4 linked regions of the Elephas maximus indicus genome follow. The protein of the gene in region 4 purifies or fractionates together with the protein of the main gene of each other region. This does not show direct contact. Links are inferred from orthologs where the notes say so. Each region holds a gene or a part of one and is shown on either strand. Other genes may lie near its edges. The genes, in order: SATB2, WDCP, BICD2 and PLK1.

Region 1 (7,281 bases), on a different chromosome or scaffold from region 4:
TGTAACTTGGCTGGCTGGGGCTCTGTCCATGGAGCAAAAGTAGAGAATCCAGGGTGGAAAGTTTCTGGTGCTTTGACTTGCAGTGTTCCCCTAGTCTTCCTTTCTCTTTACTTCTTCCCCTTTCCTCTCCCCCAGGTCCTAACGTTTAAGGTCCTGGGTCAGGGTGTCTTCTTCTTGTGCGGAGATGGTTGTTATGATGATGATGGGGAGGGAGGGGGAGGAGGAGGAAAGGGAAAGGAGGGCTCCTCCAAAGGGGCACCCGAGCGAGCGGGGGAGGGGACGGCGGAGGAGGGGGGAGAGAGAAGGAGGCTGAAGACCGCCTTGTCACACCTTCGGGAAGGAGATCGGTTCTGGAGAGAAAGGGCTGAGAACCGGGAAGCGGCGGCGGCTGGCCGGGAGTGCGGGTTCGTAGGGCCGCTAGCTCCGGAGGAGGAGCGGCCGGAGCCGCCGGGCCGGTGCCACCGAGAACCGGGAAGGCGCCAGGACCGGGACCACGCGCGGGAGAGAGCGCGGCGGGCGCCGGAGCTGTCACCCCTAGCCTCTCCCCTCTCGGCCGCCGCCGCCAGCAGCCAGAGCCGGACTCACTGACAAGCCGCAGAGAGAGACGCACTGAGAGGGAGATGATTATTAGTTGCGTTGAGTCATCAGGCAAAGTGAGTCCTTTTGGGTTGTCCTCGGTTTCCGATTTCTCCCCCTCCCCCTTTCCGTCCCCAGATCTAGCGCCTTGGAAATAATAATTTGGGGTGGGGGTAGGGGAAGTCTTTGGGTTATTTCGGGATGGGGGTGGGGGGGAACAGATCTAATCCCAAGCCAGACTGGTCCACCGCAATCAAGGAGGGGAGTGGGGGTAGGGGAGGAGGGCTGGGGAGGTTGCGGGGGGAAGGGAGCCCCGCCTGGCAGGAAATTAAACATCAATCAATCAATCGCTGTGAAAGCGGCGACCCAACAGCGGCTGGGCTGCAGAGCAGGCAGAGGGACAAGCAAGGGGCGGGTGAGAGGGAGGAGGAGGAGGGAGAAGGAGGAAGGAGAGAGTCGGCGGTGGGAGCAGGGTGGCGAGGACCGTGCACGCCAGGCGGCTGAGGACCGATGGCAGAGGACGGAATGCAGCGCGAGACAGTGGCCGCGGCCGGCGGGCGGGTGTGCCCGGGCGCCAGGCCCGGGGTCTGGTCCTCCTCCTCACGGCGGGTCCAGGGCGCGGCCGCCTCTCCCAGCCCGTAGGCGCGCTTGTCCCGGCGCGGAGGTGGCAGCGACAAGGCAGGCACTGGGTGCCGAGTCTCCCGGCAGACCCACGCGCAGGCGGTGGCCGCGGCTGCCTCGGCTCCCGGCTCTGCTAACTGCGCCGAGTACTTTCGACTTTGGAGATAGGAGGGCGATCGCCTCCCCCACCCACCGCCTCCGCCCACCCCCCAACGCCTCCGCCCCTCGAAGCAACTTTTCCCGGTGCCTGCAGCTCCCCCTCGGCGCGGAGCCGGCCGTCCGGGCCCGCCGAGCAGCCGCGCTCCGCGCCGCCGGCTACAGGGGGAAGGCCGCTTTTCCCTCACAGCGGGCACAGCCCGCGGGTCCGGAACAATAGCCGGGGTGTCCCGAGCGGCGGGAGCTTGAGCACTGCCCTTCCCGCTGCGGGTGGCACCGGAGAGGGGGCTGCGTGGGGGGAGCAGGGCGAGGGGCATCCCTGGATTGCGTCCCTGAAGCGCTCGCAGCGCCGGAGACATCGCGAGCGGAACAGCCTGGGCCGCTTGGAGCTCGTGGCGCGGTGGCAGCGATGACAGTAGGGTTGCCTGTCCTTGGGCTGCGGGGCTGGGGCTCCGGAGACCCCAAGTGACTCGGGCCTGGACTGCGGGCGCTGACAGAACTGTGCGGTGAGGACCCGGCCTCCCCGCCCCGGGAGAGGCTGCGCGGGGGCGTCCCCGGTGGATCCTGCACAGGGGTCACAGAGCCACAAACTTTTGCCGACTCGCGCGGTCGCGGCCGCCGCCGCCCGCAGCTGAGCTCCGGCCGCGGCGCTCATTTAAGGTGGCGCAGGCCCTAGCCGAGCAGGCTGGGCTCTGGCCGCGCTTTTGTCCCTGCGGGCCCGCTTAGCCGCCGGGCCTCCTTAAGGAGCTGCTGCACGTGGGCAAGAGCCGCAGTCCCTGCGAGACGCCTAGGGCGCTGGCGGACACTCGCCGCTGGAACCCGGGGCGGGAAGATGTGGGCCGGTCCCGTCGACCTTCAGGCCGACGAAGTCCACTCAGCTGGCGGCGCCTCCCAGCTCTCCCGCACACCTAGGTGCTCTTGCCTAATATCCAGGACCCCGAGGATTCCCCCCTCTATCTAGTAGCCCTAGCCGCCAGTCCCCCTTAAGAAGCATTGACTGTACGGCGGCGCCAGAGGGCCAAACTAAGTTCGGTTTCGGGAAACGCGCTCCGGGGGGCAATTCTGGAAATTCCGGCCCAGAACTGGGACAGCGGGAAGCCACGTTCACTGAGCGTGCCAGAGATCGGGTCGAGAACCCACTCGCCGCACCTACCCGAAGGACTGCTGGCGCGCAGTCATCTCAAAAGCAGGGGCCGGAGAGGCCGGGGAGCCTCTGGATGAGAAAGGGTCCCAGAAGCGAAACCTGCCCCCGGCCTGTCTTGGCGCCCAGATCCGGGTGTACCCCGCACTCAGGCACCGCCCACCAAGTTCCAAAGGAGCCGAAGGCCGCCGGGGAGGCAGCAAGAGCCCTGCCGACAAAGGGAGCGAGCAAGATAGGAAACCTTCGGGGAGCCACCCTGGGGATTTAGGCAGCGCTTCACTTTCCCTATTTTTCTTTCCCAAATGCTATTTTTCCCCCAAACAAATGGGTTAGAGGAAATGCACAATTCGAAGTCGCTGAGGGCAAAGAGCCTCAAATAAATCAACCCGTGGTGGTAGCTAAAAGGTTTTTGGCTGCAAAGAAACAAACTGTAAGTTCGATCGACAAACTTTTTTTATCCGTAATATCACGTCGAAGTAAGAAGGGGGGTGGTGGCAAAAACCAACTGCCACTGTCCAACTTTGAGCCCATTTTCAAAATGGTGAAAGACACATTTCTTATTAATTCCTTGAGAACGATAATGCTGTCTCTTTCCTTACCTTGGTGGTGAACTGCGGAATCCTCCTCCGGATCCGTGTCCAGGAACTTAGAAGGATTTGTGATATTAGGACTTCAGTACTTCTGGAAAAAAATGGAAGTGGTTTAGCCAGAATCTTTCCTGTCTGATTCGTCACTATTATTATATCTGATGATGCGGATGGTTGGAGCGATTCAATCCTAAGCCATTAATGAGCTATTTTATGAACACCACTGTCTGAAGGTCTTCATTTACATTTTGGGAAGATCACTTTGCTAACCTCACAGTCTTGTGTCAACAGCAGGATTACAAGACTTCAGTTACACTCTTATAAACAACACAGCCGTGTTGTTAATCGGTTAATATTTCATAAAGTTAAATATTTTATTATATTTTGAGGGAACTATTGACTCTAAATTATTAAATCCCTGAGAAGGACGATTTAAATAAAGTAAACAATTAAGTACAATTAAGTGTACATTGTGATTAAGTTTGTTTTCAGATTCTGCACTTTTAAATTCATTGATTTTTTTTTCTCTTTATTGGAACTTCCTCCTATCTGTTTTTTTTATAGTGAACAAATTCATTTGGGTTAAAGAAAGTCTCAAATTATTTAAAAGTGCATTTAACATAGAGGAAGATGTAAAACAATTATTATCAGAAATATAGTTTGAGGATTTGTAGAGTTACACTTAGCAACGCAGATTACAAATTTCTTTCAGTTTAAAAAAGGAGAATCCTAGGAAGTTTTGTGATGTATGCCCAGCTGAGTTTTTTTCCTTGGGTTTTATCCCTAATAAAGGCCTTTTCTGTTTCAAATTACATACGCTTTTTACAGCACAATATTTGTATTGACCTTATTTCTATTGAAGTAAGCTATTTCCAGTATGTTTAATTTTGACAAGAAGGGATATTTAACATTTTTTAATCTTTCACTAGGATTGTCTACTTTTTAAGACAGTAAATAAATAATTATGATGATTCAAAATTTTTGTTTGGCTTCGCTTTATGTTCCTAAGTTGTTTATTCCCATTTTTGAAACAAAATCACACTCAAGAAAAGAATTGGTTTTAATTACTTTTGTCTTTTTTTAATACATATATATATTGATCCAAAACGCATTTTGTGCATTACGGCTGTCCTTTGTCCCGGTGCTCGAAAGCATAAAGTTCACATTTGGGAGACATTTTTATCCCTCAGCTTGCTTCTCACTGACATTTTAATCCGGAACTGCTCCGACTTTTTCTCCTTCCCCCACCCCCAATTTTTTTCTTATGTCACTTAGTCAAAGGTCGCCTGTCTTTCAGAAACACGGAGATTTGTTATTTTAAAAATCAACGGATCTTCATATACTGGGCTTAAATGCGCATGTTTTTTCTTATTTCCACGTCTCCCCCATTTCTCTCTCCTCAGCAGGCCTCCTTTCTCTCAGGGCCTGCACATTCAGTGACAACACTTCTGATTTTTCTTAAGACCGATGCTCTGCTGTGCGGGCTCCCGCTGCGGACGGCCTAGGCCCAACTGCTCGGGCGTAGGGTGCGGGGTGTCGGGAGCGGGAGCCCCGCACCCTGCCGGCCACCTGGACCTCTTAAGGCCCAGCAATCCTTCCCTAGGCCCCCGGCTTTCAAGCCGGGTCATCCAAGCAAAGGGGCTCTCCCGGCCGTGCGCTGCCTCTCAGAGAACACCGGAAAGTTGTGCGGCGTCTTGCCTCCAAACTCAGACGCACAGGGAAAACCGTGGGAATTGCCACCGTCAAATGCCTTAGACGGCTCTTGGGAACAGACGCAGGCCTGCCTCTACCCCCCCCCCCCCCGGGCTTGCCCTGTGGGGGGCGGGAGGAGGGCAGGAGGGAAGTGTTCCTCTCAAATGAAGCCCATATCAGCTCTGGAGCCAATTTTCGCGGCGGACTGTCGGTGGAGAGAGTAGACGGCCTACATGTTCGCGGGCGGCTTAACTGCACCGGGCTTGGATTGGAAATTGGCTGTGCCAAGGGGCTAAGGACCCAGGGCCAGGACCCGCGCAGAAAAAACAGGTTGACTGTGGGGCGCGAGCCCTGGAGGAGTCTGGGGACCGACCGAGCGCGCCGGGGGCGGGGGGGGGGGCAGGGTTAGGGCGGGGAGGGCCACTTACTTCGTTATGGGTCCACCTTCCTCCTTGGCATCAGAGCGGGGCAACCCTAACCCGCGCCCGGCAAAGATCAATTGCCCCTTCTGACCCCGCGGCTCCTGGGCCTGGGCTGGAGCCAAGCGGCCAGGAAGCCCTCGGGACGCCGCAGGTCCGGGCGGTGGAGGACCTGCTACCGTCCTCGAACTAGCCAGCCTCTTTGGCCTAGACGGAGAGATGTGTCCCAGTGAGACAACTGATTGGAAAAGAACGGTGGGCAACTAGTCCACGTTAGGTGGTGAACCTAGCACCCAGGAAGCGGGTGCGTCGGGGCTTAGCGGAAGGGACACTGCAAAGGCCCGGAGGACGGGATGGGAGGCAAGAAAGGCAGCCCAGGAGCTGCCTCCAGAGGAGAGGGAGCTTTCTGCACCCGGGTCCCAGATGTAGGGGGTGGGAGACGGCGTCGGGGGTGGGCCTTGCCTGCCCTGGGGAAGGAAAGCTAGCGGAGCAAGGCGGGCCGTTGGGTGGAGGTCTAGGTGTCCATTAGCTGAGGCCCGGGTTAGGAGGCCCCAGAAAGCAAAGGGTCTGCAGGCTCCGAGCACTCCCCAAGCGACACACAGCAACGTCCCCGGGACTCCCGAGGTCCCTTCATTCTTTTACAGAGTCAAGAGCTTAGAAGCCTGATCTCTTTCTGCGGCAGCAGCGAGAGAATGACTGCCTTGCTAATCTAGCTTATTTATAGGAATCGACTTTAAACGACGGTATAACAAAGCAAAGGGGGAGAGAAAACGAAACCCCAAAGTGGCCGCCGCTCCCTCCCGCCCCCACCCCGACGCGGCGGGGTTGGGAGCCGGGAATCTCTCTCCCGCCCGGCTGAGTCTCCTTTCTGGAAACACAAAGCCGGGCGGAAGGGTTCGGTCCTATCTGTAATCTCCCGGCCAAAAGGCGGTGGTGACAAGTCCACGGCCTCGACTCATCTTTACGGCCTTGTCACCTCCGAGCGCAGGTCACTGCCCGGGCCCCGGCCCGGAGGCTAAGCGTCCTCTCCCGACAGCGCCACCGCGTGGGCTGCGACGCCCTGGGCTCAGCCCGCGGCTCTCGGGAGTCGGCGGGTCTGCCGAGCTCCAGTCCTCTGGTTAATGTTGTGGCGGAGGCTGAGCAGGGCCAGACTCCCGGCCCATCGAGATCAGCCAACACCGAGGATGCTCCTCGCGCGCACAAAATGCCGGCGCCCGCAGTCGGCCCCAACCACTTTAATGAAAAGAATATCTGGTAAGGCCAGGCCGCAGTCCCCACTTGCACCCTAAACTCCAGTAGGCAGGCAGACTGCGCCATGGAACCTGGGCCCACCCTTTGCCAGAGCAGGCGGGCCCCAGCAGCAGGTCCGAAGTGGCACAAGCCGGAGAGTTACCGGAGAGGTCCTCTGTGCCGATCCCGAAACACACCTAAAAGGGCGAGAAATCCGGCGCCCCGCCCGACCACCCTTGCTTCTGAAGTGACACAAGGTCCTGGCCATTCTACTGGAGTCGAGGATCGGGCGGGGAGCCGCTCTGTCCAGCTGTCTGGTCCGGTCAGGCGGCGGGGAAAACCAAGAGGGCTCTACGAAAGGATGCCCCGCTTGTTCTCTCGGTTGCACGAAGCCCCTCGGACATCCTTACTCCGTCAAGGCTTGACCACCAGGCTAAGGCCCAGGTGGCAGTAACAGAGGCGATCCAGCGCTGAGCAACTGCCCATCCCAAGGGGCCTGCCCTCTGGGCCCTTCCCCAAGCCCAGCGGGCTGGACATCACTTTGCGCTTCGCGGCAGCAGGCCAGGACTTAAGGGCCCCCACTTTGGGTTTAGAGAACTCTACTGGGTGGGTTGGGGCTTATTTTAAATAAATTCGATTGTTCGCACACGTGCGCGCACACACACAAATTATGCGACTGGCGGCTATTGAAAGGGACAACCACCCAGAAAGGTGTAAATTCACCCGGTCCAACCCAATTACAAAGCTCCCAGCCCCCCTCCACACACACACACACACACACACACACACAAAACTGGGGTGAGCTCGGGATGCCTACGCTGTCCCTCGTCCGGCGGCCACGGACCGCACCCTTACAGGG
Region 2 (7,674 bases), about 42 Mb from region 4:
ACCCTATGGGGCAGTTCTACTCTGTCCTATAGTGTCACTTTGAGTCGGAATTGACTCACAGCAATGTTTTTTTTTTAATGCCTGTGATTATAACCCCACTGGGAATGGGTTGTCTTTGTTATGTTAATGAGACTGGATTAGTATAGGATGTGTCTTAAATCAATCTCTTTTGAGATATAAAGAGATTAAACAAGCAAGCCAAAGAAGCAGAGGTGGGGGAAGAGAGATGCTATGAAGATTGCCCAGTAGAAGCTAGAAAAGACAAGGACCTTCCTCCATAGCCAACAGAGAGAGAAAGCCTTCCCCTAGAGCCAGCACCCTGGATTTGGACTTTTAGCCTCCTAAACCATGAAAAAATAAGTTTCTATATATTAAAGCCACCCATTTGCCATATTTCTCTTACAGCACTAGATGACGAAGACAGGGTCCAATATACTTGGAGACTGGGAGAATCATTAAAACATTTGATACCTGGGGGAGAGGAATGGTCAGATACGCATTTTAAAAAAGACTTTGGGCTGTGGTATAGAAAATTAGTGGGGTGGGGAGGGGAGACTGAACGGGGGGGAGGGGTTGTGAGACCGAAGCGGGGAGGTGAGGCTGAAGGGAAATGAGGTAAAACTGAAGAGGGGAGGTGAGTCTAAAGGTGGGAAGTGAGACTGAAGGGGGAGGTGAGACTGAATGGAGGAAGTGAGACTGAAGTGGGGAGGTGAGACTGAAGGGGCTGGGGAGAGGATGAAGGGGAGGAGGTGAGGCTGAAAGCAGTGAGATGAGTTTAGAGTCTGTGCAGAAATGCAAGTGAGAGATGATGGTGGCCTGACCTAGGGCAGGGCCTGGGGGAAGGGATCCTAGCAATATTGATCAGGAAGACTTGACAGGACTTGGTAAGGGGCCTGACCAAAGACAAGTGTCCCCAGTATGGGAGTATTCTTGTTGCAGTATTAACTTGTATTTTCCCCTCCTGGCTCTTTTGTACTTCCTGACTGAGGGGTTTACAGAGAGCTGACAGCAGAAAGCCAAATCTCCTCCAGGCTTTCCCTAAACATCTAATCCCCCTCAAGAGAAAATGTTCCGAGTCCCTGGCCAAGAAGGGAGGATAAGGAGAGAACGCTCTAAAGGCTGAGGCTTGTATGAGCCAGGGAAAGAAGATGAGGCCTCCACCCCATCCAAGAACTCTATGGCGGTGCCCTGGGGGAGGGAGGCTGGTGACCAGGACTCAGGGAGATGTTCCCTGGGGCCCAGAAAACGAGGTCCCCATCATGGGCAAAGAAACCTATACCCCACGGGTGACTCGAGGTATCATCTGGGACTTCTAGGGACGACTGTTTTTGAACAAGGAAGGCAGCCTGGAATCAAGAGACCTTCCTAATTTCATGGGGTGGGAATGTCAATAATGTCTAGGGTGAAATACGCCCGTGAAGTCCCGCAGAATGGCCGCTCTAGTCTGAATTAAACCGTACTTAAGAAATAAAGAAATGGCTATTTCCTACACACCCAAACCCAATTATTCAAGGATGTCACCTGAGGTGTCTGGCTTGGGAACGAGAGTCAAGGTACAGGGAACACAGAAAGAGGAGCGCTTGGGGGTGGAGGTGGGGGTGGGGAGGGAGCGTAAGTTCTGTTTTGGACTTGCTGACTTTGAGGTACCCCGTGGGAAGTCTAGGTATAGGTTGAGCAGCAGCCGGATACATGGATCACTGTGAACTCAGGCGGGAGGTCTGGACGGGAGGCTTAGATGTGGAAGCCATCGGTTTCCAGATGATAATGAAAGCCATGAGAGTGGACAGGATCTCCGGAGAGGGTGAGTGGGGCAGAGAGGATAAAGCGCGATCCAGAGGTGGAGGCGGGAGTGCTTCTCCTTTCCCAGTCTGGCTCTGTCCCTACAGGGTCCCACTGCCCAGTCCGCAGTGACCCGCTCCACACGAGGCCCTGCGTGGGGCGCATTAGAAGGGGGAGGAGTAAAGACCCTTTCCCAGGTTTTCAGAGCGCACGTAGCACGGTAAGGAAAGCGGGGCTAAAACCCAGCCCTGGAAAATGAGCAGCAGCGGATAACCGAGTGGTTCCCTCGGCGGCAGCCAGAGGCCCCTGGGGCGGTCACCCGGCGCAGACCCCAGCCTCTGGGCTTCCACCTTCATACCCCCAGGTGAGCCAGCGCGGAAGGGGATGGCGGAGAATCTTCTTCTAGACTCGGAGGAATCCCGATCGCGGTCTCCTCCCGCCGCTCCTCATCCTAGGCCCATACCCCTATCGGCACCCTCAGCACCAAGCGAGTCAGACCCCCGCCCGCCCGGCCCCGCCCTGGGACCCCTCCCCCTCCCCCCGGCTCCACCGCCCGGTACCGTCTCCCGGGGAGATGGTCTCGATCTCCACGCCCATCGTGGTCCCACAGGCCCCGCCTCTGGGGGGGTCCCCGCTGCTGCCCCGACCCCGGCTCGGCAATGGCCCCGGCCTGCTGGCTCTCCGGCTCGCCTCCCCGCCGCCACTGCAGAGCCGGAGGAGGTGCGGCTGGAGTCGGGACCCGCGCGGGGAGGGGCCACGGGAAAGGGGGCGGCGGGGCGGAGCCGCGCGGAAAGGTGGGGTTCGCCGGGGAGGGGCCCTGGAGAAGGGACCCTGACGTGGCCGCTCCCGAGCCTGGCTTGGCTAAGCCTCTTCAACCTACTGGGTGGGGAAGGCGGAGAGGGACGCACACAAGCACTCTCATTGCACCCAGCCATCCATCCATCCCTCCATCCATCAGTTCAATACATATTTGTTTAGCACCTACTGTACGCTAACTGGAAACCCTGGTGGCGTAGTGGTTAAGTGCTACGGCTGCTAACCAAAGGGTCGGCAGTTCAAGTCCGCTAGGCGCTCCTTGGAAACTCTATGGGGCAGTTCTACTCTGTCCCATAGGGTCGCTATGTGTCGGAATCGACTCGACGGCAGTGGGTTTTGGGTGTGCTAACCAGGAAACCCCGGTGGCTTAGTGGTTAAGTGCTACAGGTGCCAACCGAGAGGTCGGCAGTTGGAATCTACCAGGCGCTACTTGGAAACTCTATGGAGCAGTTCTACTGTCTTATAGGGTTGCTGTGAGTTGGAGTCAATTTTACGGCAAGGGGTTTGGTTTATTTATTTATTTATTACTCTATGGTAAGCTCTGGGGCGTCAACTCAGTCCCACAGACTAGGGGGAGAAGGCAAGCAATTAAACTAATATTTTAATTAGATGTGCTCACTGTCCTGGAGTTCAGAATGTTATGGAATTGCCAGAGAGGTACCTACCCTAACTGAGGATGGGAGTGGGGGATTAAGGGAGGCTTCCTGAATCTATAGAGCTGGGGATAGGGGAGAGGGCGTCAGCCATTGCTGGCCCTCCGGCACGCCCCTAAACCCCTATTCGCTATTCTGTGTAGTTCGGCTCCGTGCACATTTATTGGGTTTCCACTTTTCCAGGCAAAGCGCTGCGCCGTGGCGATGCCAATTAAGACAGGATCGCTGTCCTTGAAGACCTAAGTCTGTAATCAGACAGTTACAGGGCGGAGTGATTGAGCTCCTCCTCCACACCAAACCCGTCACCTTCACCCAAAAGAGATCAGGCAATCCGGAAAGATGTTTTAGGAGGAGGTAACAGTTGCCTGAGGTGTGACTGGGACTTTTAAAACTTTTTTTCCTCCTCGTTATTTCCTGCATTGTTCTAAAAATTTAAGGTAAGATTCTGACAGGTGGCGCTGGAAGGTCGGCGTTCGGAGAATATCCTGAGTAAAGGTGTCCAGAGTGGGACCTAGAGGTGTTCTTCCTCCATTTTTCCTACACCCCCCTCCCCCCCACCACAATGCAGGTGGTTAGGTCAGAGACTGCTGGTCATCAGCGTCACTGAAGGAGGACTGGCTGTGTTGGTCCAAACTCAAGAAAGATGATGGTCAACTGTACTGTGGGAGTCAGTACCTGAAACTCCCTATGGGCTGCTCCGAGGAATGGCTCAGGGGTGTAGCTGGTCTAAGAAGCCTAGTGACGCGGTAGGGGCTGCCGCCTTTAGGGTAGGCGTAGAACTGAGATTTATAACTGATCCTTTCAAATTAAGCGGCTTCAGTCGAAGACACTGGTGTATGGATAAGAACATTTTTCTTCTTTTTTTTTATATTTAATCAGATTTTAAAGAGGTTCCCGACACCCCTACCTTTAAAAAAAAAAAAAGGTTAAGAAACTGTGGCGTCGACCCTAGGCTCCTGGACTCCTTCTTAGTCTAAGAGAACCAGCGAGTAGTGGGAAACAGCGCTAAGAGAAGGAAAAACTGTGGCTGGTTTACGGTCCGTGGAGTTCCACGGAGACTACAACTCCCAGAGATCCGTGCGGCAAAGCCTGAGCTGCTTGGCCGATGGGAAGGACCCTCTCCTAACGTGACACATGCAAAAGCCAATAGGCAGGGGGCACTGCAGAGCTTTCCTGGCACCGCTCACATATCAGAGCACTGGAGGCAGATATTTCCGGCACCTGCTCCGGGCTTCGGATCCGCGGTCTGGTGAAGTGGGGCGGCCCCGGGGTGACTGGTTCTGTGCAGACAGTGAGACCAAAGGTATTTTGTCTCCACTGCTGCCCGTCCTGGCTGATGTGGGGAGGCTGCGGGTGGGCTGGGAGAGAGGTGGAGATGTCACCGCGTGAGCGGCATAGGGGGGACCCAGGTGTGCGGAGAGGATGGGCCGAAAGAAGCGTCCCGCGTGGGGAGGGGCGGGAGGATGAGGCTAGAGCTGGGGGTGGTTTTCAAGGAGTGAGTATGTTTCCTGTGACTCATGAATGTTACTTTTGGGAATATATCCTAAGGAATATATATATAAATATAAATATATAAAGAACACACTTCATTCATGCACAAAGACCTGTATCAAAGTGTTACTTATAATAGGATAAAGTTGGCGACAGCCTGGGTGTTTCAGCAGTGAGAGTTCAGTGACTATTAAGTGAATATTAAGTGACCTCAAAATATAATTTGTAAAATTTTTTAAATAACATGAGGAAGTGCTAATAAATAATAACCCAAATGTTAAGTGAAAAAATGTACGATATGATTGAAAAATTTAACAACCAAAACCTATACAGAGAAAAAAGTTGAAAGGATGCAGTCATGATTTTCTTTGGATGAATGGATTTTTATGAATTTCTCCTTTTACTTTTCTAAACCCTCCCCCCCCAAATTAACTGTAAATAACTTGTAATTCTTTTTGAGTTGAAACATAATAAATTTAGAAACTTAGAAAAACAAGGGTATGTACCTCTGTTTAAACCTCCTGGAAATGCTCTAATACACCTAAGCCCCTTGATTTTCACCATGAGTTGTCTTTAAAGAAGATTACGAACAGCAATTAAATGGTTATATATTGAGCAGTAGATCCTGGTTCTGACCACCTCTTCTCCTGGTCTTTTCTCTCTCTAAAACACCCTATCACAGTGTAGAAGTCATTTGGCTAGGCTTTGTGGGGAATCAAAGATAAATAAGATATGGCTCCTGATTTCAGAAAGCTCCTAGTCTGCCTGGGGGTTGAGAGACCAACAGGTACACAGCTTCAAGAAAATTGTAAAATTTTTAAAAAAGAATAATAGGGAAACTCTTGTTCCAACCTTGATCCTCTTGGCCTTCTGATTTTTTCACAGGGAGCTGCTTTGGTTTCAACTACTAACCCTATGCCAAAAAAAAAGAACCTATTGCCCTGATTCCATTCTTACACATAGCAGCAGTTACCAGTTAAGAGCTTTAACCACTACACCACCAGGGCTCCTTAACGCCATGCCAGTGACTCCCAAATCCTTACCTCTAACTGCCTAAGATACACATACTACCTCACAGACTTCTTGAATGAAGCACATCTAATACTAAACTAATCACACACAGCCATCTAAACTTGGAAGCATGTTCTTCCTTTAGCTTTGCTTAATGGTTCAGCAGTTTCCCAAGCTAAAAATCTCCATTTTATCCTTGATTTTTCTTTCTCCCTTACCACTCATATTCTAGCTGATATTATCTATTCCATCTGCCTCAGAAATATCGCTTGAATCTGGTCCCTTTGTCTACTGAAATAGCTGCACACTTGGTTTACTTTCTCATTGTGGCATTCAAACTATTCCATAGCTTCTTATTAAACTTGGCAACTTTCTTCCTTCTTAGGTCCATCTTGCACATTGTCACATGAATGTGTACTGGTTTCCCCAAATTCCAAATTCCTTAGCAGGTCCTTTATGATGGGGGAGAAAAGGTCGGAAAGGTAGACCAATATTAAGTGATATAAAGCCCTAAATGCCTTGCTAAGATATTTTGAAATAACTTATTTTTTTTATATACTCTAGGCTGTGGAGACCTATCACAGGTTTTTGAACAAAAGAGCAAAATAATTTAAAACTTTTTTTTTTTAAAGATAATTCTGTCCAGCCACACATATTGTCTAGGAAAGAGAAGAGACTGTTACCAAGGAGACCTCTCCTTGTTCAGTAAAATGGGAGAAGTGGTCAGGACCTGGATTAACACAATGTCACGAGGAGTGGAAAGGAATGAAGCATTTTTGTAATTGCTGTTAGGTTTTTAGGAAAAATATGCCAAATTTCTTCTTGTCCCAAAGATGAAAATATGAAAGTAATTCTTCTAAAAGCCTCAGTAGCCTTTATTATTTTGTTTTCCCTTATTCACAAATTCTTAGGTGCTACCCCTGGCCACACACACCCTCAATGGCATTAGACTGAATTGGGTGGCCTGTTGTTATAATTGGCCCGTAGGAATTTTCTCTGCCCAGGAAGATGGATCGTGCAGCATTTATCAATGAAAGTCTTTTGAAAAGTGCATGAATAGATCTTAGGAGAAAACATATATTATACAGACCAGTGGGATAGAGATTGCAGTTTTTTTCATTAGTAATGACAGGGGACTTATTTTTCCATCTAGCAAGCCACTGCAGAACCACTTAATCTTACATCAGCGAGAATGCATAACGTCTTTTTGCAGAATCTTATTAGTAAATGATTCTAAGAGCAAGGATGAAGCTAGCAAGGAGGTATGAGAAATAATTCACAGATAAATTAAAAGCAAATCACCAGGCAGTGTGGTAGAGAATACATTTCTTTGGATTTAGAGTCTGAAGACTTCTCAAGTTTTGTCTTTAACACTTACTACTCAGTGATTAAATAAAACAAGGCTGAAAAATGTCAGTTGGATTCGGTGACACCGATGGCACTGGTGGCTTGGTGAGAGCTCTTTTGGAGAGATGGGAATAGACTCGGATTGGAGTGGGTTAAGAGAGTAAGTGGTGAAGAAATAGCACTGCAAATTCAGACAACTCTTTGATAACTAATCAGATTAAATATGTTTGTTGATCATTTGTGTTTTTTTGTAAATTGCCTGTGGATATTCTATGGCCTTTTTAAAATTTTAAAATTTAGGATATTTGCCTTTTTAACTGGTTTGTAAGAGCTTATTATAAAACTTTCTTTGTCAAAAAATAAGTAAGTAAAGAGGATCCACTTTATCTCTTAATACCACCCCACCCCATCTCAGGAGCCCTGGTGGCGCAGCGGTTAAGAGCTAAGCTGGAAACCAAAAGGTCAGCAGTTCGAATCTACCAGCCACTCCTTGGAAACCCTATGGAGCAGTTCTACTCTCTCCTGTAGATTCGCTGTGAGTCAGTATGTACCAGGAACAGTTTGGTGTATACTATTC
Region 3 (8,127 bases), on a different chromosome or scaffold from region 4:
AGCCATGGGTTTGGTTGGGTTTTTTTGTGCCTGCCCTCATACTAGCCCTGACGCTCCAGAGTTCACCTAACTACCCGCAGCCCTCTCTGGAGGCACTATCTCACGCCACATCAGGGACAAGTTCAGCAACAGCCCAACATAACACAGTAAGGCAGCAAAGACATCCAGATCCAAACCTGCCTCCTTCTGCTCTCATAGCCCAGGTTCAGGTCTGAGACTATGCCTCAGCTCTGCTTGTACTAGGCCAGGTAGGCCTGGAGAGGAACACAGTGGCAAGGCCTTTCTGCCCTCTTATTCCAGATCCACAAAGACCAGGCTCTGATCCAATCCCGTCACGTGTGCCTGGCCTGGTTCACACACTGGTTCCCACCAAGCCCTCCTGCCTGACCCCAACCTCAGTCTACCCCCCACAATAACTGCCAGACTGCCCAAAGACAGGAGCTGGCAGCCTTAGCACACCAGTCCCCTTGGAAGCTGCAGCTGAGGCAAGAGAGTAAGATGTACCTGGCCTAAAGTCACAGAGTCACTCAGGACAGGAAACGATATTTACCTAACCCAGCATCACTCCAGCTCTCTTAACTATCCACCAGGGAAGGGGAAGCAGGGGGCAAAGCTAGACTTGGGATGGGTCACCCCCTACCCTACCTATTCCTGTTTCTCTCCCACCAAACTGGGGCACTTGCAGGAGGGTTTTCATCTTGGCCCTCTCCTTGATGCGGTGCCAGCCAACCCTGGCTCAGAGGAGGCTCCACTACCTGCAGACAGACCACCAGGGCCCTATGTCATACAAGTCAGCCTCGAGGTTGTGAGACTCATGTAGACATGCAAGGAGCCCAGCTCCCAGCTGCCCCTCAGCCAGTTATTTACTGGTACCAACAGGGCACCTCCACTGCCCAGGTCTTGCTTTACACACTTGGCTTGGACTAACTCATTTACTCCTCTCCACAGTCAGGGAGGGTCCTACTGGTCTCCCAGGGAGGCAGTAGAGGCTCCAAAGGGCCAAGGCACCTGCCTAAGGCCAACAGGGGTGGGAATGCAGGGAAGTGAGCATCAGGGAAGCAGCAAGTATGGTGGATCCCCAAGACCCAGGGCCCACAGTCAAGAGCCCACCTGGCCAAGGGAGGAGTCAGTGGGGAAGTGGGGCACACGCTGTCAGAGAAATCAACAGGCTACAGAACTGTCAACTACACATCAGCCACCATGCCAGGCTTGTTCAAATACACGATCCTCAGACACACCCATCTGGGTGGGCAATGTTGTACACTCATTTGGCAGAGACAGAAACTAAGGTTCAGAGAGTATCCCTGCCTACCACCACATCACCACTAAAGGGCAAACCCAGGTGTATCTACCCAGACAGCAACTTCTTCTCCCCAACCCCACAATAGGGTATGGGCGTTAGGGAGGGGTGGGATAAAAACTGGTATTTAAATCATCCCAGGAGAACTACTGCAAGTGGCAGGTTGCCCAGTTCTCACAGGTACTCTCCCAGAAGCCCCTGGTGCCCCTCCCCTCCCACTCTCTCACCACCCTCCAAGAGAACTCTCAGGCCACCTGGGGGCCTAATCTCCTAATCCTCAAAGTGAAAATTAAACAGGAAACAGAGGTCTGTCCGTGAGGGCCACAGCCCCACCCAAGGACCCACAGACCTGCCATCACATCTGCAGAGGCCTTCTCGATGGCATAGTGAGGAAGGTCCCGTGAGGAGGCATGGGACAGGAAGTGGTCGGGAGAAGCATTACATCCCAGATGGTGGGAGAAATAATCATGGCAGTGAGGAGAGTGCATCCTGGTCGGGGAGCTGTGCCTGGTAAGGAGACACTGGGGGGACCCCAGTCAACGCTGATGGCCACATGCAAAACCGAGTCCCTGACTCCCTCAGGCCCCTTGTCCAGGGCCTTTCTCAGCCTCACAGCACTCAGGAAGGAGCTGAAACCGCGCTGAACGTAGCTGCGCCCAGAGAAGGGAAGTGATTTGCCCGAAGGTGACACAACAGCAGCCCCCACAAAGACTCAGGCCTGGCCTTTCCCAACCGGTCAGCTCCATCTGCCAGCCTCAGCTCTTGGCTCAGCATTCACACACCACCCACCCACCCACGCACACACACAGGACAGCAAAACGCTGCAGAAAATATTACCCCCACTTTATAAAACCTAACTCTGCCTGTGGTGCCCACAGGCCTGCCAAAAGCAGAAAAGCTGGCTGGCGATGGCCCGACTGAAAGCGTGTACCTCCACAGGTTCCACAACCGCTCAGCCCAAAAAATCAGCCTGGCTGGACATTTCCCTGCCTTTGCTCGCGGAGGTCAAGACTCCCTCCCACATGTCCTGTCTACGACATCCTGGGGCCTGCCTAGCTCCCAGGAAGCCACTGGGCTGGAATCCTCCTGAGAATGGGCCATGCAGGCTGCCACTCTCCAGGGGCAGGGGCAGAAGCCGGGATACGAAGGATTGGGCCGGGCAGCCGGGGTCCTGAGGGTCCAGCTGCGGTCCCCACGGCCCCACTCACGGAAGCCAGCCGCTACGACTGGGGCGAAGGAGGCTCTCGGGGGCCTCTGGGCCCCTCTTCCACAAACAGCACCTCCCGGACCCATCTCCCTCTGCCAGTGGAAGGGTGACCTTGGGCGCCGGCCGCCTCCCTCTCGGCGTCGGTGTACCCTCTGTCCCAAGGGACGCCTGCCCAGCTGAGCCCCGGCTCCCCGACTCGCGGGTCGGGGAGGGGGGGTCCGATCGGGCGGGGCTTGCCCAGCGGCCGATGGAGGGCGTGGCGGCGGCGGCCCGGCCCGCTCACCTCTTTGAGCTGCTCCATCTCGCCGCGGATGGCCTCATAGTCCACCTCGAGCTCCTCGAACTGCAGCTTCAGCTGGTGCTTCTCCTCCAGCACCGCCAGCCCGTACTCGGCCGCCTGTATCTTCTCGCGCGTGGTCTCGGCCAGCTCGTGGGAGAGCCTCTTCACCTCGGCGCGCAGCCACTCGGGCTGCGCCTCCATCACCAGCCGCGCGTACTCCTCCTCCTCCGAGGGCGCCGACATGGTGGCGCACGGGCGGTGGCTCGCGCCAGGACTGGCACGGACACCGCAGGCCGGGCAGGCGCGGGGCCGTAGCTCTCGCAGAGCTCACCAGTCACCGCCGCCCATCCCCGACGGCCGCCCCGGGCCGCGGACGCGCCGCCGCAGTAGTCTCTCTGCCCGAGGGATTGTGGGAATGGTAGTCTCCACTCATGAGCCCACTACAAGGCCCATCGTACCCCGCGCCGCCCCGCCCTCAGCTGTGACTGGCTCTGGCTGTGACGTCACGGAGCCGGGACCCTAGTGGCCCAGCGGCGGAAGAGGCTTTCCTTCCGGCCCCGGGAGTCTGGAGGCTTGGATACCCTGCTGGTGGCAGAGGTCCGAGTTGGCGGGCGCGGTGGGGCCGGTGGGAGGGGTCTCCGCAGCCCCCAGGACCTTCCGAGGCAGAAGGCGGTGGCCCGGTGCTTTGTGTTCGCCGGGTCCGCCCGTAGGCGCCTGCACGTACCGAGCTCTCGCTGAGCCTGGCCTGGAGGGCGTTTCGCGGGTCGGTGATACCCGCGCCGTGTGGCCCCTACACGAGCTGCATGACCTGGGCAAATGGCTCAGCCGCGCCGAGCCTCGATTTTCCCATCTGTGCCGTGGAGCTTCTAAGGAAACCTGGCAGGGTTCTTGGGAGGGTTAAGTGAGCTCCTCCAAGAATGCGCGGGCGCGGTGAGTTCTGACCGCCGGTGTGGAGAGCAAATAGCGGTTGTGTTTTGAAATGTTTCTGTGTCAGCGCTTTGAGCCATCTTTGAGAAATTCGTAGACCGAGCTCGAGGAGGCGCATTGTTTGTGGAGGTAAAAAACGAACCAACTTCGGTGCACGGCGACAGGGTCTGGGACGAAAAAAACGGAGGTAGCCAGGCCCGGTATGTGACTTTATCCGACAGTTAAATGAGATGGAGAGAGTCCCGAGACATTCTCGAGTCAGAGGTACATAATAAACCGTTCAGTACTGAATTTCTAAATCCTAACAACATAGGAACAGTGTTCTGTGGGAACGTGTATGGACATAAATGTTAAGAAACAAGCTGCAAGAGCACACACCAAAATGATGACAGGTTAGCAGAACGGGTATATGGGTAGGGATCAAAGAGAACTTTAGCCCCAACTATGACTTTCTTTCATAACCCCTAAGTACTTCAGGGTGTATTTCTTAAGAATAAAGGTATTTACATAACCGCAGTACAATTATCCAATTCAGGAGACTGAATATTGATACAGTGCTATTGGAGCCCTGGTGGCGCAGCGGTTAAGAGCGCCGTTGCTAAATCAAAAGGTGGGAGGTTTGAATCCACCAGCCACTCCTTGGAAACTATATGGGGCAGTTCTACTCTGTCCTAAAGGGTTGCTATGAGTTGGAATTGATTCAGTGGCAACAGATTTACAGTACTATTGTCCACTTTCCATATTCCAATTTCTTTGATGTCCCAATAATGTCTTTTATAGCTTCCCCCCCCATCCAGGATCCAATCTGAGATCATGCATTGCATTCAGTTACCATGTCTCTTTCGTTGTTGTTGTTAGGTGCCATCCAGTCAGTTGCGACTCATAACGACCCTGTGTACCACAGAACAGAACACTGCCCTGTCCTATGCCATCCTTACAATCATTGTTATGCTTGAGCACATTGTTTCAGCCACTGTGTCAGTCCATATCTTTGAGGGTCTTCCTCTTTTCCACTGACCCTCTATTTTACCAAGCACCATGTCCTTCACCAAGGACTGATCCCTCCTGACAACCTGTCCAAAGTATGTATCTAAGGAGCATTCGGGTTGTACTTCTTCCAAAACAGATTTGTTCGTTCATTTGGCAGTCCATGGCATATTCAATATTCTTCGCCAACACTACAATTCAAAGGCGTCAATTCTTCTTCGCTTTTCCTTCTTCATTGTCCAGCTTTCACATGCATATGATGCGATTGAAAATACCATGGCTTGGGTCAGGCGCACCTTAGTCGTCAAGGTGACATCTTTGCTTTTCAACACTTTAAAGAGGTCTTTTGCAGCAGATTTGCCCAATGCAATGTGTCTTGATTTCTTGACTGCTGCTTCCATGGCTGTTGATTGTGGATCCAAGTAAAATGAAATCCTTGACAACTTCAATCTTTTCTCCATTTTTCATGATGTTGTTCACTGGTCCAGTTGTGAGGATTTTTGTTTTCTTTATGTTGAGGTATAATCCATACTGAAGGCTGTGGTCTTTGATCTTCATTAGTAAGTGCTTCAAGTCCTCTTTCAGCAAGCATAACTGTCTGCATAATGCAGGTTGTTAATAAGTCTTCCTCCAATCCTGATGCCCTTTTCTTCTACAGTCCAACTTCTCAGATATTTGCTCAGCATACAGATTGAATGGGTATGGTGAAAGGATACAACCCTGATGCACACCTTTCCTGACTTTAAACCACGCAGTATACCCTTGTTCTGTCCGAACAACTGCTTCTTGATCTATGTACAGGTTCCTCATGAGCACAATTAAGTGTTCTGGAATTCCCATTCTTCACAGTGTTACCCATCATTTGTTATGATCCATGTCCCTTTAGTCGGCTCTAATCTGGAAGTTTCTCAGTCTTTGTCTTTCATGACCTTGACCTTTCCAAGGAGTACAGATGATACCCCTTCTGCTAACCTGTCATCATTGTGGTCTGTACTCTTGCAGCCTGTTTCCTCGACATTTATGTCCATATACACTTCCACAGAATATGGTAGAACATCGTTCCTATGTTTTTATTAGAAATCTAAAAATCCAACACTATTATTCTCACTCAACAATGTCTTGGGGCTCTTTCCACTTCATTCATTTTAACTGTCAGGTAAAGTCCAGTTATTTACACACTCCCTCCATTTGGGTTTGTCTGAGGTTTTCTTGCGGTTAGATTAAGGTTACACATTTTTGGCAGTAGAGTCACAGAAGCGATGCTGAGTTCTTCATACATCATATTTGGAGGTACACAATGCTTAAATTGTCCAATTACTGGTGATGTTAACTTAGATCAGCTAAGGTGGTGTCTGCCAGGTTTCTCCACTGTCCAGTTACTGTTATGGAATTAGTATCATATGAGACTTGTGCCTTTGAGATTTGTGCCAGTATCCTGCTACTACTCAAACTTTTACCCATTAGTTTTACCATTAATTGATAATATGTCTTGTCTGAACTAATTATTACCATACTAGTTGCTTTCTTCTTTCCGTCATTCCTTCTCCATTAGATGGCTTTGCACTATAAGGAAGATATTTCCCTTCTCAATAATTCATTACCAGTATGGATTCATGGATTCTTTGGCTGATGAGAGCCCCTCCAAGCTGGCTCCTGTGTCCTTTCAACATGTCGTCATTTTCAAGCACTCTCTTACTTTCTGGCACAAGTTATTCCAGGATCGTCTTGTCCTTCCTTAGAATCAGCCATTTCTTCAAGGAGCCCTGACTTCTTTTAGTCATTTAATGTTTTATTTTTATGAAATGAATGTGTCATATTTGTGAAATTAAAAATACTTTTTCAGGAGGTCAACTGTGGTAGTAGTAGGATGACCAACCATGCTGGTTTGCCAGGACTGTCCTGGTTTTAGCACTGAAAGTCTCACATCCTGGGAAACCCCTCAGGCCTAGGCAAGCTGGGACCATTGTTGGCCTAAGTAGAAGGGATCTTAGGGCGAAGAAGGGCAGAGAGAATGAGCCTTGTTTGAGTGAGTTTCCCCAGTGTAGGAGGAAGGACTGATGCTCCCAGAATCAGTGATTTGCTCAAGGTCATACGTCAGTGGTAAAGTCCAGTAGCCTGACTTCAATGCCTGCTACTCTCACCCCCAGTCTTCATATGCTATTGACCTGAGGGGGCAAGGGAAAGGACCGTGGGGATCTGGTGCAGGGAAAGACCACAGAGCTTTGAACTTAAAGACAGGGTGGTGGCTGGAAGGGGACAGGGTAGGCCTCACACACATTCAGGCTACAGGCAGGGACTTTTCTGGGTATTGGGGACATAGGGACCTGTCAACCATTTGGTACTTCCAGCAAGAAGGACAGCTGCTCTGGTGTCAAGGCTTGAGCTGTGTTGGAGTAGTCTGGAAGCCATGACATGTGACATTGTCATGAGAGGGGATCAGAAAGGGCTTCCCTGAGGGAGTGACACCTGAGCAGAGATCCACAGGATGGCCAGAAGTTGGCCGGTCTACGGCTCCCATCATAGAGGGTCTCACAGGGACAAGAGGAATAGGGTGGCTTTGCACTCACCCAGGGAGCGGACAGCTGCGTGCCCAGCATTGCCAGGTCCTCAACACACATTGTCTCGTTTAATCCTTCCTGCACTCTGAGAAGTGGGGATTACTCCATCCATTGCAAAAGTGAGAACACTGAGGCCCAGGGCAGAATCCTTGTGGTCACCCTTGACTTTGTACTCCCCGCACCACTCAATCTGTCAGTAAAGGCTGTGTGCCCAAGTTTCAGAACAAACTGAACTGAAATCAGATCTTTCTCCCCTCTCCCCACTGCTGCCTCCCTGGTCTGAGCCCCATTACCTCCCAACTGGACTGTACAGACACCTCGTGTCCCTGCCCTCACCCCCTCCCACCCTCTACCGAGTCTATTCTCTTCACCCAAGTTGGTCACGTCCCTACTCTGCTCAAAACCCTCCTAGAATCAGTCAACTCTGCAGCAACCTCCAAAGCCCTGCTGACCTGACCCCTCTCTGACCTTTCTACCACTCTCGCCCTCTCTGACCTCCTCTCTGCCACGCTCTCCCTCTCTCACTCGCCTCCAGCCTCCTAGTCTCCCTGCTGCACCTCCAGCAAGGACCTTTGCTGTTCCCTCTACCTGACAGTGCTTACTTCCTCACCTCTACTCAGCTTTTTATTCAAAAGTCCCCTGTACCCTATTTCCCTTCTCTGCTTTATTTTTCTCCATAATATACTGTATGTTGTACTTATTTACCTTTTCACTGTCTGTATCCCCCACTAGAACATCAGGTCCATGAGGGCAGGGGTCTTGGCAAGGCCTTGATCTTTCCTCACCCACAGCATGTGCGCCAGTGTTCGTGGAAGGAGTGAACAAATGAAGAGATGTTGAATAGCTCAGCCAAGGTCCTACTGTGAGT
Region 4 (7,719 bases):
TCACTCATTTATTCATTTAACAAGTAATTATTGAGCCACTGTTGGATACCAGGCACTGGCCTGGGTTCTAGAGATACAGTGGAAAATAAAAGCCAGCTTTTGCCCATAGGGATCTTGCAGTTGAGTGGGGAGAAAGCCAAGCAAACAGAACATAGAGTTCTCTGATGGAGGCCTGAGGCGCCCGTCTTGAAAGTCACCATAGTGGTGAGGAGTGTGGGCTCTGATCTCAGGCAGATCAAGTCCCAGCCCTGCAATTTACTAGTCTTGTGACTTTGGGCAAGTTAGCTCACCTCATGAAACCTCAGATTTCTTATCCATAAAATGGGGAAGGGACTGTTAGGGTGATTTAAATGTATTCACACGTGTAAAGTATGAGTATAGTGTCTGGTTCAGGGTTACCACTCAATAAATGGTAGTTAAATTACTATTAATATTGGGAAATGATATACCTAGAAGGAAACCCCTTATATTCTCCATTCTTATATATTTTTAATTTTTTTTCTTAATTTCAATTTTGGTGAAAATATACACAGCAGAACATACACCCATTCATCAGTTTCTACATATTCAATTTAGAAACATTGGTTATGTTCTTCACATTGTGTCACCATTCTTGGTGTCTCTACCCATGTTGTTTCACCAACATTGAGTTAGACTCACTACCCACTAAAGTTCTCATCTATGCTTTAGAGTTACTACTGGCAGTTTGATCTCATGTAGAAAGTTCTTTAAAAAAGCACAATGGTCATGGTGAACATCCCTTACTCACTTAGCTAAACAGTTGTTTAGTTTAAAGATGACTTCAGAGGATAATTTTGGTTCACGGTTTGAAAATTTTCTCAGAGTGATAGATTCAGGGTTTCCTCCAGTCTCAGTAAGCCCAGTAAGTCTGGATTCTATAAGAATATACAATTCTGTTCGACATTCCCCCCCGTGATGGTTAATATTGTGTGTCAGCTTGGCTAGGCCATGATTCTCAGTGTTTATATGTGATCGCTCCCATGATGGAATCTACTCTGAGTGGCCAATCAGTTGAAAGGGAGTTTCTGTGGGGATGTGGCCTTCATCCGAATATAAGGAGATGTTCTGGCTTTTTGCTCATTCTGGATTCTCCAGCCGCATTCTGTTTGTCTGACCTTTTACTCTTGGGACTTGAGCTATCAGCTTATCTGCAGATCTTGGGATTCGTAGATCTTCACAGCCTGAGAGCGGGAGTCCCGCTCTTCAGCCTGCCTATCTTGGGTTCACCAGCCCCAGCGGCTACGTTAATTGAGAAAAGCCTCTATTCTGATCCACAGACTGGGGACATTCCAGCCTCTATAGTCTCGTGAGCCTTTTCCTTGATATGAATCTCTCTATATAAAAAAAAAAAAAAAAAAATTTTTTTTTTTTTATATATTTATACACTTTACTGGTTTTGCTTCTCTAGAAGACCCAGGCTAAGACACCCCACTTTTGATCAGGATTCATCTCTTGATTCCTTGATCAAAACGTTCAGTAACGGTAGCTGGCACCATCCAGTTCTTTTGGTCTCATGGCTGAGGAGGCAGTAGTTCATGGAGGCAGTTAGACCTGCAATCATGTTCCTGTCCCGATTCCTCAGTCTCCTTCTTCCTCTGCTGCTCCATTTTTTAAAAAATTTTAAAGTAAAATTAAGAACATCTTGCCCTTTATAATTGGTCCGGTACAAAGAAGAGTTGGTGGAAAAGAACTCATTCTTCCTTGTTTTGCATCTATAGGGTGCTAGGCACTTAGTACAAAACATTTAATCCTTCCAACTGTCAAAACAGTAGGGATTTTTGCAACCCATTTTACAGAGGAGGAACCTGACATTCAGAGAATTTAAGTAAATTTGCCCAACATCACACAGCTAATAAATGGCTGAGTTGAAATCAAAACCAAGTCTTATCTGGCCTCGAAGTCCATGCTCCATGCAGCTTCTCCAATACCCTGGGCCTCCAAAGCAGTTGGCTCTGAGGACTACACTTACTGCCTTGTTGGTTAACCCTTTGCTTTCCTTAGGTTTTTGCTGGTGGGTTGTTCCCCTCTGACCTGGATCCTGAAGTGAGAAGAGTTGGCACAGGGCATCTTGCTTCCTTGAGGAGAGCAAATGAGCTGGTTCTGGATCTCCCAGTTCACTGGGCATTAGGAACATAGGGCATGGAGAGGAACATCTTTCAAGAAAAGAGACACAGGAATGGAATCCATGTCCTTTCTGGCTCTCAGACCTTGGGCCTGTGGATTTTCTTGGTCCTACCAACTTGACTTTTTTCAGCTATAGTCTCCTCAACCTTTCGTGTCTCTTGAGTGTGGTTTTTGTTTTCCCATGGGAGCAGCAAGAGCCTGAGGAAGCAGTAGGGACAGGAGAGGGGGAGAATAAGGAAATATGAGAGGCCTAGGAACTGCCCTGGTGGTACCGTGGATACAGGGCTTATTTTAATTTGCACCTAAAGGCATAACTGAGATCCGTACTGCAGGTTGGTCTCACCCTGAGGCCTGGGGTCCCACTGATAATAATTTTGCTGTAAGGAAACCTTAGCCAAGGGCCAAGGGGGTAGACTGTGCAGAAAAGAGTTAACACAGCAAGACCTGAGAGTGCTAGCCTCAGAAAGCCCTGTTTGCAAAGCTGGCCCCTGACTGGCATCTAGGACCTTGAATTTTGGGAGGGCTGTCACCATTCCCTAAGTGATAAGGATGAGTCACTGTATCTAAACTGTTGGGGCAAACAACATGTTTTATGCTGAACACCTGCTTTCTTTCTGGGAGTCTGAAGTTTTGGTATGTACTAGGCAAAGAGTGTCCATGTGACCAACCCCCAGTAAAAACTCCAGACACTGAGGCTCTAATGAGCTTCCCTGGTAGACAACATTTCACACGTATCGTCATAACTTATTGCTGAAGAGCTAAATGCATACTGTGCAACTCCACCTGGTTCCCTCCGGGCTTTGTCCCATGCCCCTTTTCCCTTTGCTGAGTTCGCTTCATGTCCTTTTGCTGTAATAAATCATAGCCATGAATAAAAGTATATGCCAAGTCCTGTGAGTCTTCTAGCAAATCATTGACTGGGAGTGGCTTTGGGGACCCCCAACACAGGGCCCCAGGGGGGCTTCAGGGGTGTTGGTAATGTTCTCTTTCTCCGTCCGGTTGCCAGTTACATGGGGTGTGTTCAGTTTGTGGAACCTCATCGAGCTGTAAGTTGTGATACGTGCACTTCCTCTATGAATATATTAAACATAAATAAAAAGTTCAAAGAAAAAAGGTGGTTACGCAGGATTAAAAAAAAACTTTTTTTTTTTTAACTTTTTATTCTGCTCATTACCCCTTTCACCCCAAGCATTGTGTTGGGAGCAAGACATGGAGTAGAAAAGACAGCATCATTGTCATTGTCGCCTGGTTTAATTGGGAGGCAGGTAAAGATGTGCTTACAAGATGGTTGATTCTTGCAAACTTTATCAAGGACATCAGAGGGTGCTAAGGGGCTACAGAAAAGGGGCTTCTAACTTGGGTATATGGCCATTCCAGGGTTGCCACTCACATACCTACAGAAGCCAGACAGGCAAATGGGCAAAGGCGGAGAGGTGGGAACTGGCAAACTGGGAAGACATGCAGGCCTACTGTTGCTTAACTTCTGGGTTTTTTCGGGAAAAGCCACAAATGTGATTTTTTTTTTTAATTTGAGCTCTCGATTTTTAAATCCTGTAAATGAATTCAATTTTTAAAAAGTGGGGAGGCCAAACGAAATACCCCTGCTGGCCAAATCTGGCCATGGCCTGTCGGGTTGCTAGGCATTCATCCCATCAGCCATTCCTCCCTGTGACCAACAAATTGAGCGTACACTTTTTTTTAGGCATTGGGATAGCAGGGAGCAAGCCAAACAGCTTTCTTGCATAGTGGGTACTGGGCTTCTCAAACTAAAGTGTGTGTAGGAATCACCTGGGCAATCTTGTTGAAAGGTGGCTTCTGACTCAGGAGGTCTGGGGTGAGGCCTTTCTACCAATGCTCAGGTGATGGTGATGCTGGGTCCCTGGACCAGACTTTGAGTAGCGTGGCTCTGTAATGCAGAGGGGCTCAGGAGCAGCTATTTATTTGGAGGGGGCCTAGGGGACTTGCTGTGAAGGTACATTTGCCTGGCAAGCATTCTGTTTTTACGTAGTTTATTTGGGGTGGCTTGGTAGAGAGCTGATGACCACGGAGGCGGGTGCTAAGCTTGTCCCGAGCTACCCCTTGGCTCTGCCAGGTCTCTACTCTTATAGCGCTTACGTTGTGGTAGGCGGGGTGGGAATGGAGGACGGGGCAGGGGGAGGGGTGGTAAAGGAACGTGTTAGGAAAAGCCTGGACGACGTGCATGTGAATTGCAGGAGCTCCCCCAGCTGCCCCCGAACGGGAGACACCCTGAACTCCCCTCCGCAGGCATTCCCAAGCCGAGTTTCCAAGGCATCCCACGTGTGTGCTGTCCGCGCGTCCCTCCCAATCAAGTTTCCTTCCCTGCTGAGCGAAGGTTTAAAGGCGGCGGCTTTGCAGAGCGCTCCCATGGTGCCGCGCGGTGGGCGGGTTTGGATTTTAAATCCCCGCGGCCAATCAGTGGCGCGCAGGGTTTTGTAACGTTCCCGGCGCCGCGTTTGAATTCGAGGGGAGCGGAGCGGAGCGGAGCGGAGCGGTGCGGAGCGTCTACCCAGACCCTGGTAAGCCCGCTGAGCAACTTCGAGAGCATGAGTGCGGTGGTGACGGCAGGGAAGCTGGCACGGGCACCGGCAGAGACCGGGAAGACCGGGGCCCCGGGAATTGCGGTTCCCGGGGCTACGGCGTCCGCCCCGCCGGCGAAAGAGATCCCGGAGGTCCTAGTGGATCCTCGCAGCCGGCGGCGCTATCTGCGCGGTCGCTTCCTGGGCAAGGGAGGCTTTGCCAAGTGCTTCGAGATCTCGGACGCAGACACCAAGGAGGTGTTCGCCGGCAAGATCGTGCCTAAGTCGCTGTTGCTCAAGCCGCACCAGAAGGAGAAGATGTCCATGGAAATATCTATTCACCGCAGCCTCGCCCACCAGCACGTCGTCGGCTTCCACGGCTTTTTCGAGGACAACGACTTTGTGTTCGTGGTGCTGGAGCTCTGCCGCCGGAGGGTGAGGGTCTCTGACGGAGGATTGCAGTTGCTTGGGGGCCGGTGTTGGGGCGCTGGGGGCCCTGAGCTGCTGGGAAGGACTTCCTGGGGAAGGAGCGCCCGGGACCCGCAGCTGCTAGGGAAGGGTTGCTGGGAACCTCTAGGTGGGGCAGGGGAAGGTCTCGGGTAGGGGGTGCTTGGCACTTGAGGCTGCTTGCGTAGGGGGTTAAGTGGAGCCTGAGTTTTGTTGCTGCTGGGGAAGGCAGCTCCTGGACGCGAGGTGTTTGGAGAGGGGAGAACTCTGGTAGTGAATAAATACTAGGGCCCCCAGAGTTCCTATGGGAGGAGCCCTGGGTAAAGGGCGCTGGGGACCTGGAGCTGCCGGAGTGGGGCTGGGGAGGAACAGAAGGGCTGGAGCCAGACTTCGGAGCTTCCAGGGGAGAGAAAGGAAAGAGTACTGGGGACTCTGAGCTTCGGGAGTGGAGCTGGAAGAGGCGTCCCAGATAAGGATCTTGGGAGGAAGGCGCTACTGGGAGAGAGTGCTGTGAGCTGTAATAGCCAGGGTTAGGGCATGGGTCCAGCTTGGGGTTGTCCTGAAGAAGGAATGCAAGAGGGGATAGGAGAGGGAAAGAATCTGTCAAGATCCTTCCCGTATACCTTTGCCTGCCGCTGGGGGTCCAGGGTCCAGTCCTGGGCTGCCTTTCCCTGGCGACCCCACATCCTCAGTGCCACCTCTCCGTTCCTCCTCCTACTGGGGCCTAGTCCCTTCTGGAGCTGCACAAACGGAGGAAAGCGCTGACAGAGCCTGAGGCCCGCTACTACCTGCGGCAGATAGTCCTTGGCTGCCAGTACTTGCACCGAAACCGTGTCATTCACCGGGACCTCAAGCTGGGCAACCTCTTTCTGAATGAAGACCTGGAGGTGAAAATAGGTGAGGTGCTGGGCCTGTAGGGGTGCCCTGCACCACTAGAAGCGGGGAAGAAGGATGAGGAAGTGGAGGGAGGGAGGAAACAGGAAGAAGGCAAGGGAGGATGAGGTGATGGGAAGTCTGAGCTGTTGATTCCCTCTAGAGTCCCTCTTTAGCCCAGAAATTTAAAACAAAGGGCCCACAAGCCAGTATCTTGCCTGTAAATGCATTTTGTGCCCCTTCACAGTATTTTTTTTTTTTTTTTGTAAGAATTAGAATTAGTTTTTTTCACTTGGGAGGCTTGACATAAAAATTTGGATTTGGAGCTCCTTTTAAACGATTAGAAGCACCAGCAACACAGGGACAGCATTCCCTGAGGGCAGCCCTTTTCTGGGCTGAAAGCAGCTGTCCCCTTTAGAATCCCTCTGGTTTGCCACAGTCCCTACCCCTCCCTATTACTTCCTCAAACTTACCAAGCATCAGTCATGAGGTTACTTGCTTGATCCCTGTAGGTGTTTGAGTTTTGCTGTCCCTGTCTTGTTCCCTTTTAGAAGCATAGCCCTCCTTTTTATGGGGGACTGGGGGAACACTGGGTGGCATCATCCTGGGGTCAGCAGATGGGAGGATTCCTGGGCAAGCCTCCCTGGGTGCAAGGAGTAGAGACTTGTGGGAACAAATGACTGTGGGGCTTGATGGTTGAATCTGAACCAGCTGTCTGCATTGACAGCTGGCAGAGACTGGCATCTGAGCATCCCCTCTTCCTCCTTCTGTCCCAGGGGATTTTGGACTGGCCACCAAAGTTGAGTATGACGGGGAGCGGAAGAAGACCCTGTGTGGGACTCCTAATTACATTGCTCCTGAGGTGCTGAGCAAGAAAGGGCACAGTTTCGAGGTGGATGTGTGGTCTATTGGGTGCATCATGTAAGTTGGGAGCTGTCTCAGGACCCATCTGGCCTCAGTAGGGGCCCTTTTGGGCATCTTACCTGGCTGACCTTCTGGGGACACTTCCCCTTATGGAAAGGCTGTTCCAACGGACAGATGTTCCAAAAACAAACCCTAATTTCCCTATCTTGTTGCTCTGTAGTATTCTGTAAGATTCCTGCAGCCTGGGCCATGAGTCCAGGAAGGGGGAAGGGGCACCAGTTGGCATGTTTCCATAACCTTGCTCTAGATCCTCACTACTCCAAGTGGGGTCCACAGACCAACAACATCAGCATCACCTAGGAACTTGTTAGAAATGCAGACTGTCAGGCCCCAGACTTAATGAGTCAGAATCTGGAGTTTAACAGAATTCCCGGTTGATTTTTATGCACAATAAAGTTTTAGGAACACTGATCTGGAAAGCAGCACTGGGTGAGAGGAATCAGGCCAGGTGTTAGGGCTGGCAGGAGGGGGTTCCTGTGGTCTGTCTGGATCAAGACCATCAGGGAGGAGGCTGGGTGGTGGGCAGAGGTGTGGGCCTTCTCAGAGGTGTTAGCTTTATTGTTGTCATTGTTGGCCTGGGTACTAGAGAGTTAGAAATGAGTTGTAGCAATGGCTTTCATACTTTGCAATAGAGCTTTTTTTCCAAATGAAAATGTCAAGCCTTCTCTTAAGTGTAGAAACTACTAAATGTGGAGCTGCTTCTATAGGAGTTGGGAGCTCACATACTTCAACCTGCATTGTACAGCTGGCAGCCTCTGAGGCCCTTCCACAGGGTCCTATGTTACTACTGCAA

Evidence for each region.
Region 1: the proteins of PLK1 (region 4) and SATB2 purify together in Homo sapiens (affinity purification with mass spectrometry; 3 studies listed by BioGRID and IntAct, counting the BioPlex papers as one, with this or other methods). This does not show direct contact. The link is inferred for Elephas maximus indicus from reciprocal best matches to the Homo sapiens genes PLK1 and SATB2.
Region 2: the proteins of PLK1 (region 4) and WDCP purify together in Homo sapiens (affinity purification with mass spectrometry; 4 studies listed by BioGRID and IntAct, with this or other methods). This does not show direct contact. The link is inferred for Elephas maximus indicus from reciprocal best matches to the Homo sapiens genes PLK1 and WDCP.
Region 3: the proteins of PLK1 (region 4) and BICD2 purify together in Homo sapiens (affinity purification with mass spectrometry; 6 studies listed by BioGRID and IntAct, counting the BioPlex papers as one, with this or other methods). This does not show direct contact. The link is inferred for Elephas maximus indicus from reciprocal best matches to the Homo sapiens genes PLK1 and BICD2.

What each region holds. Positions count from the first base shown.
Region 1 is NC_064824.1:97,962,254-97,969,534, forward strand, and holds the start of SATB2 (DNA-binding protein SATB2), read right to left. Parts: upstream 3,114-7,281; 5' UTR 3,094-3,113; intron 571-3,093; exon of another isoform or gene 331-570; intron 139-330; exon of another isoform or gene 1-138. UniProt on the Homo sapiens protein: Binds to DNA, at nuclear matrix- or scaffold-associated regions. Thought to recognize the sugar-phosphate structure of double-stranded DNA.
Region 2 is NC_064830.1:41,583,897-41,591,570, reverse strand, and holds the start of WDCP (WD repeat and coiled-coil-containing protein), read left to right. Parts: upstream 1-4,459; 5' UTR 4,460-4,551; intron 4,552-7,512; exon of another isoform or gene 7,513-7,640; intron 7,641-7,674. Other genes in the region: peptidyl-prolyl cis-trans isomerase FKBP1B, read right to left, coding at 2,340-2,376.
Region 3 is NC_064827.1:111,157,056-111,165,182, forward strand, and holds the start of BICD2 (protein bicaudal D homolog 2), read right to left. Parts: upstream 3,186-8,127; 5' UTR 3,031-3,185; coding exon 2,791-3,030; intron 1-2,790. UniProt on the Homo sapiens protein: Acts as an adapter protein linking the dynein motor complex to various cargos and converts dynein from a non-processive to a highly processive motor in the presence of dynactin.
Region 4 is NC_064830.1:83,878,359-83,886,077, forward strand, and holds the start of PLK1 (serine/threonine-protein kinase PLK1), read left to right. Parts: upstream 1-4,588; 5' UTR 4,589-4,709; coding exon 4,710-5,117; intron 5,118-5,857; coding exon 5,858-6,026; intron 6,027-6,778; coding exon 6,779-6,923; intron 6,924-7,719. UniProt on the Homo sapiens protein: Serine/threonine-protein kinase that performs several important functions throughout M phase of the cell cycle, including the regulation of centrosome maturation and spindle assembly, the removal of cohesins from chromosome arms, the inactivation of anaphase-promoting complex/cyclosome (APC/C) inhibitors, and the regulation of mitotic exit and cytokinesis.